2 linked regions of the Yarrowia lipolytica genome follow. The protein of the gene in region 1 interacts with the protein of each later gene in a biochemical or structural test. Links are inferred from orthologs where the notes say so. Each region holds a gene or a part of one and is shown on either strand. Other genes may lie near its edges.

Evidence for each region.
Region 2: the proteins of YALI1_C03988g (region 1) and YALI1_F38670g form a complex in vitro, tested with the Saccharomyces cerevisiae proteins (2 studies listed by BioGRID, with this or other methods). The link is inferred for Yarrowia lipolytica from reciprocal best matches to the Saccharomyces cerevisiae genes GCS1 and ARL1.

What each region holds. Positions count from the first base shown.
Region 1 is NC_090772.1:396,956-400,964, forward strand, and holds YALI1_C03988g (uncharacterized protein), read right to left. Parts: upstream 1,872-4,009; coding exon 519-1,871; downstream 1-518. Other genes in the region: YALI1_C03969g (uncharacterized protein), read right to left, coding at 1-21. UniProt on the Saccharomyces cerevisiae protein: GTPase-activating protein (GAP) for ARF1 and ARF2. Involved in intracellular vesicular transport. Required for transport from the trans-Golgi network.
Region 2 is NC_090775.1:3,865,940-3,868,911, forward strand, and holds YALI1_F38670g (uncharacterized protein), read right to left. Parts: upstream 1,223-2,972; coding exon 1,219-1,222; intron 1,091-1,218; coding exon 543-1,090; downstream 1-542. Other genes in the region: YALI1_F38680g (uncharacterized protein), read right to left, coding at 1,793-2,102, 2,201-2,322; YALI1_F38684g (uncharacterized protein), read left to right, coding at 2,504-2,972. UniProt on the Saccharomyces cerevisiae protein: Recruits golgins such as IMH1 to the Golgi. Can bind and hydrolyze GTP. May be involved in trafficking events within the endosomal system.

The sequences.
Region 1 (4,009 bases):
TCGGTCATGCACGATATGCATGCTGGGATAGGGTTGGTAGGGTAAGCCAGAGAGACGAGAGAAGGCTTTAGACGGTGATTGTGTTGGTGTAGGGAAGGACGATTTTTCTCTGAAATGAGCAGCATACAATTTTTCTTCGCATCTTGTATGTTTTATAATCTCTATCCGCGAGTGTTTTTTTTTTATATTGTTTAGTGTGGAACGTACATACTGGACACACACACTGTAGGAGGATCTTCTTAGGGGTTAATGAACTGTGTTTGGGCATCTTGTGATTTCTTCTTGGATGTGCGGGTGTCCATGAGCTTGAAATGCCCCATTGCTTGCGGTGCCTCAATGACACCAATGATTTATCACCAGTGATTTCATCTACTCCAGTATGCATATAAAAGTATACAGTATCTTCCTACTCTCCTATAAAGCTCTGGCCAAAAGAGACCGACGAGCAGTATGCAGAACCACAGCAACATTGACCCCCTACACAGTTGTATACAACGCTTATTCTATCTATAATACATCTAATCATCCTTCTTAGACTTGGGCTCCATCTCGGGCTCAGCCTCGGGCTCAACCTCCTCAAGAGGCTCCTTGTCTTGCTCCTCGACCTTCTCAGCCTCCTTTTCCTCGGCTCCATCAACCTTCTCAGTCTTCTCCTTTGCCTCAGCCTCCTTGGCAGCCTTCTCGGCCTCAGCCTTGGCAGCCAGAGCTCGCTCCTTGGCAGAGGGCTTCTTCGCCTTGGGGGCCTCAGTAGCCGAAGGAGCAGCAGCAGGGGGAACAGCGTCCTTGGTGACCTTGGCCACCTGCTCGTCCTCGTCCTCGTCCTCCACTCCATCGTCGTCCCACTCGTTCCATTCGCCCCAGTCCTCACCGTCGGCAGTCTTTCCGAATCCAGTCATGTTGGATTTACCCTTGGGTTTGAGATGAGAAAAGGGATCCTCATCGGACTCGTCCTCGTACTGGATCAGGTTTCGCGACTCGCCGGGTCGGCTGTAGCCCTGGGGATCGCCCTCGTTGCCCTCCACGAACTCGTGGAACCGGTCCAGACCCCGTTTACTCTCCTTCTGAACGGTTTCTCCCAGCTTCTGTGCGTGCTCCAAAGCAGTCTTTGTGTACTCGGACTCCTGGATGTTCTGGACAGTAGGCTTAATGTACTGGTTGTTGACTTCAGTCGACATCTGGCTGACGGTCTTGGAAAATAGACCCCAGCCCTTGGTCAGAGTGCCCAGAGGATCGGCCTGGAAGTTGTCCATCGTGATGGTGGCACCGGGTCGGTTGTTGGACGAGACGGGAGCGGGAGTGTTGCCAAATCCGGAGTACTTGCCGCCCTCCGAAGGTCGAACGTCAGCAGATCGAGATGCGTTCTTAGCACCCAGACCCTCGAAAAAGGCCACGTTAGAGCCCTGGGGAGTCAGATCGGACTCGCCAGATCGACTGGAGTCACGTGACTTGGAGGGGGCAACACTGGGGGTGGCACCCTCCTTCTCGGGGACGTACTCGGTGCCCTCGATCTCACTGGTTAGGTAGTTCATGTAATTTCGAGCCACCACCGAGTTGTACTTTTGCTTGATGGGAGTATCTCTGGCCATACCGGCCTTGTCGAAAAACTCGTGGGCCCGCTGGTTGCCACCTTTCTCCATCCGCTCCATCTCGTCGGGCTTGAACTGATCCATCGAGATAGATCGCACAAACGAGATATGCACTCCCAGACCTCTGTGCACTCCGGCGCACTCCAGGCAGATGAAGATGCCGTACTTGGGGGAGGCCCATTGCGGGTTGGGGGCATCACAGTCAAAACATTTTTTGTTGGCACCGTCCTTCTGCAGCGCCAGAAGCCGTTTTTTGTTGGCAGGATCCACAGTCCAGTTGGGCATTGTGTCGTAGGTTGTAAGATGACAGGTTGTGTCTTGTCGAAGTTTATTGTCAAAACCTCACGACAATGTAGGAAGGTGTACATGTGGGGATGGGTGGAGATGCATATATATCTCGCTTGGGGAGGGGGGTGCTTGGGTGTCGGAGAAGTCACCTGACCCACACTTCCTGCCAATATCCGTCTATTATCTTGAAAATACCAGGTTACGTGTACCAGGTAATTTCGTTTTACGTGACGTGTTTAGAGACAAGTCAAAGTTTGCCTTTCCACATGTCGTGTAACATGATACGAGCAACTGTGACTTGTAGTATGGAGATTGGGGTAGATTGGTCTTTGGTGCGAGGAGAGATGGACTATTGAGTGTGGGACATGTTATATTGTGTCTTTAGTCTCTACTGTATGTACTGTACATACTGTACTTGTACTTGTACTTGTAGTTGTACTTTTACTTGTTACTGGGTTACAGTAGCTTGCATGCTTCTTGTACTGAATGTGAGTCTCGTGTTGCAGCAATGCGACGACCTACGGTCCACCAAGAAGCAGACAGTCTAAGATGGATCAAAACCGACACCGAGGATCGAAGGAGAGGTGAGAGGAAGGGAAAAGATGGATACACGATGGCTCTGTATTGGTACGACGGACTCGTAATCATCACAATTTTCTGCTGCCATCAATCTCATACATGTTTGTATGCGCTACTACTGTATACCTGGAACTTTACCGTACAGTATGTATTAGATACCCCATAAGAGCGTCGTATTTATTAAATGATTCTAATTGTTACTTATATCGAAGGCATTATTGTAATATTTATAGACATGTTGGTGGTCTCGTGGCCTATTCATTGACATGGTTCCATAGCAGGTTAGCTTCTATTGCACGACAACAAGTAAAAGTACAAGTCCCATACTCTACAGTAGTAGCGTCTTCAAAATCGAGACCTGAACAGAATCTATAGGTACAAGTACAGGAACAAGCATTTAGGATCCAAGAGTGGATTACAATGTCTCATTGAAAAGCTCATGATCTCAGGGGCAGAGTTGTGCAGCCTGTTCTCTTCCATCCCGCAACATATGAGAACATCTCTATATAACTTCTTCTGCCGCTTTCATCACTGTGATATCCTCTCAATTGGATACTCATATGACCGAACTGCTACCTTGACCTTCGTCTCGATTGTTCCCCTCGTTCCTCGTCGTGGTTCCACTCGATTTGAACACAAACCAGATCAGAGTTCATTTATTCTGAGCGAGTCGCACGGATAGAGCGGGTACTCCAGAGGGCACTACAATTATAAATCGGTACCGGCAGTAGTAGCAGGCGTGTAGGGTCTACGGTCCTTTTTCTTAGATCTAATTAACTGTGGTGCGCAGCTCTGTATGCATCAATACACAGCGGAATGTTGACAAACCCCGATGACACATGTTGACAAAACATCGATGGCACACAGCGCAAGTATCATGGAGCCTCGTGTCATGTTGGAACGTCGACCGTACACTATTATGTACTCGATAGCGTGATTTTTGCCGTTCCGCTTTAGGTCATTTATGAGCAATTAGGACTACTGTACAGTAAGGTGATCTAACTGAGCATATTGCTTTTTTTGGAGGTCGGATTGAATGGGCAGGCAGGCAGAAGAGGGGCCAATGAGAGCCTCATCTTGATTCTGTAAACCCCAGCACAAGTACAGTATGTATGAATGAGTACTCGCATCGTACTTATTGAAATATTAAATGTGACTCTTTCGGCCTGCATACATGTCCAATACAGGCTATATCTCCGATTGTATGGCTGCCGAGGTGTCCTTGGTACGAGGACTTATTTGTTACTCCACTCAAGTGAGCCAATGGAAAGTCTGGGGATTTTATCAGATCAATGGGGTCGATCCCACGTGATGACCAACCTTGCTGGACCCAAAAATACCCCGAGAGTTTGCAAAAACCAATTAAACTGAATCAAATGTTTCACCTAGGAGATCTCTTATTATAATTTTTGAGGCATATCATCATTGAACGGTTCTAGTTGTGTAAACACTTTCCAATTGCGAGAAGATTGACTGTCACAGTGAAGATTTCTTGTTACACTCTGCACCTTCAAGTCAGCGTCATCGAAGCAGCAGCCTCCGTGGTGCCGAATCTG
Region 2 (2,972 bases), on another chromosome or scaffold:
CAAGGCTTTCAAGACTCCTAAAATTCTCGTTTTACTATCAGATCAGCCACAATATTCATCAGCCTCTAATTTCCCCCAGAGGATAAGCTCTCAGCGTCTTGAATGTCTTAACTCGGATATGTCTGTATTCAACGGTTTAACAACTGCATATGGTGGGATCACACGTCCATCCAGTGGCCGGTATTTGAGTGAGTATATGTGACAGGGAACGGGTTACGTTATAAGCTCCTTTATCGAGTTCCAGCAGTACTCGTTAGACACATGTTGTGTATAAGTCAGCATGGCTCTCTCTGATCTGATCCTGAATAAACTGATCACCGCACAATACAAACCACACCCATACAAGGTAGTCTCTCATTACAAAACATTGGGCCCTCGTGCCTCTCACTACTGTAGCTACCAGTGAACAAACTCTCTGGGTTCCCACAGTCCCACGCCCTACGTGTATATGTAAACATTCATATTGTCGTTAACTACACAGTCTAGTAAGGACCTGAAATGACTTATGACACGCCGCGCGTTCGCATTTGATAGTCGTCCTTTTACAATACCTCCTCCTTAATAACACCAGTGAGCCAGTCCAGACCCTCACTAAGACCCTCTCCCTTCAGAGCACTGCAGGGCATGATGCTCCAGCTTCGATCCTTGAGCGAAACGAGATCGAGAGCAGTGGATACCTCCGCCGCGGTCATGGCTCCCTCCTGATCCTGCTTGTTGGCGAAAACGAGCAGCACTGCGTTTTGTAACTCGTCCTCCTCCAGCATGGAATGCAGCTCCTCCTTGCACATGTCGATTCGCTGCTTGTCGGTGGAATCGACCACAAAAATGATAGCAGCTGTGTTGGCGTAGTAGCATCGCCAGTATGGTCGGATACTGGTCTGTCCTCCGAGATCCCACACGTTGAGTTTGAGGTTTTTGTAAGTCAGGGTTTCCACGTTGAAACCAATGGTGGGGACTGTGTCCACAACTTCACCAAGCTGTAGCCGGTACAGAATGGTGGTCTTGCCGGCACCGTCCAATCCAATAATCAGGATTCGAATCTCCTTGTTGCCTCCCCACACACGGCTGAACATGCTTCCTAGAACGTTTCCTGGGTTAGTAGAGGGTCAGATGGTCGTGTCAGTCCTGTTTCGTCCCAGCTGTCATTGTTCACGAGGCTTGGCTTCATAGAAGTCGCCAGCAGTAACTCCATCCCCACCCCTTCTCACTCTTACTCACCCATCCTGTATGCTGTGTCTTGTTCTTTGCGCCGAGGAAGGTTAGTGTCATTGTGATGATGTAGCACTTACTATATCACATCACGTGGCAACTTTATGTTCTTTGCAACTAGACACACTACGGCAGGGATACGAATCGTCTACAACGGTTGATGGTGAACCGGGCCGTTCGGATGACTCGTATGTTTCCTTCAATACAGAATCAGCCTTCTTTTTCCCCACTTTTGACCTGTATAATCACCTCAGAACAGTAAATCGCTGCTTAACTTTCGTGAGAGATCCAACAAAGGGATTGTATAGCGTCTTGGCTAATATTGTATATAGGAGTGTTCGATCTATAAATTGGGTCAAATTCGTGTCCAGATACACGTAGCTATGCTGCAACAATACTTGTAGTTTGGTGTTTTTCTACCCATCGTACCCTACACAGATACTATAATACGCAAGCGCGTCCATAGCCATGACCTCTCTCCAGCAGTAGCTACTCGAACTATTTTGGATAACCACTTTTTTCCCATTCGTCTCATGAAGATGCAAATAAATATTACGTAAAAATACAAATAGACTGAGCCAATTCACCCCTCAGTCTCCTCCCCAGTAGCCTTTCGAATTCGCTCCCGAACCAGCACATCAATAGCTTGATCAGTCTCTCTGTCAAGCTGATCCAGATCCTCCTGGAGGTCTCGCTTCAGATCCCAGTTGGCTCGTTTCGGCTGCAACTTTAGATAGTCCACTGCAGATTGGTTCTTCTCCATCAGCTCCTGGATCGTCCTTGCCTCTTCCTCAGCTCCTAGCAGCTCAACAGTCTCCTGTCCTTCTGTCGGGTTGGCATCGTATCCCAGTTTGGTCGACTCCGTCTCCAGATCGAAGTTTCGTTCCTTGAATCTATGTTAGCGAATGCTCGATGTTGTTCTCTTTCTTCATCCAAGACCATTCCCCGTGTCACCTCAAGTCGTATCGCATCTCCCCATCCCCATACTCACGTTGGCTTTTCCTCCCGTGTAGCAACCTCGGCCTCCACGGGATCGACCTTCTTGCCCTCCCGGAGAGCCCGCATACGCGCGAGCTTCTCTTTTCGGCTTTCCGCTTGTGCGCTGAGAGACATGTCGTTGAAGGTGATATCGATTCGGTCTCAGTATCAATGGTTCACACACTGAAACTTTATGCAAACTTCTGCGGGCTGACTAATCTTACTACTTCACGAACTGTATGATATATTCGGCATGCATGAAACTAACTTGACCCAAAAAAAAGACCTGACACTCTGACAAACACCACTAATAACTATGTCGCTACCTGGCCTCAACTTCTCAACAACTGAGACAAACACTACAGAATCCACTCATACCATCGACCTCAAACCAGAGACGGAATGGAGATACGAAGTGGCCATCGGGGGAACCTTACATGTCACGCTGAAATCTGGAACCGCTGAAATCTTCGGTACAGAGCTGCCACCTAACAAGGAGCTCAGTATCCAAGGAAAAGGAAGCATTTACACATGGCAGGGCTGCCAGTTCGTATACACGGCAATTGCAGGACCCAAGGGATTGATGTCTGATTACACAACCGAAGACACTCCCCACATGACCATGGCTATCAACCTGCACTTTGCTCTGGAGAAGATGCGGAATGAGGCTGAACAGAAGCCCAAGGACGTTGCTGGACCTAGAGTTCTCATTGCTGGACCCCCCAACTCGGGCAAAACCTCCCTGGCTAAGATTTTGTTAGCCTATGCTACAAAATGTGATCGAA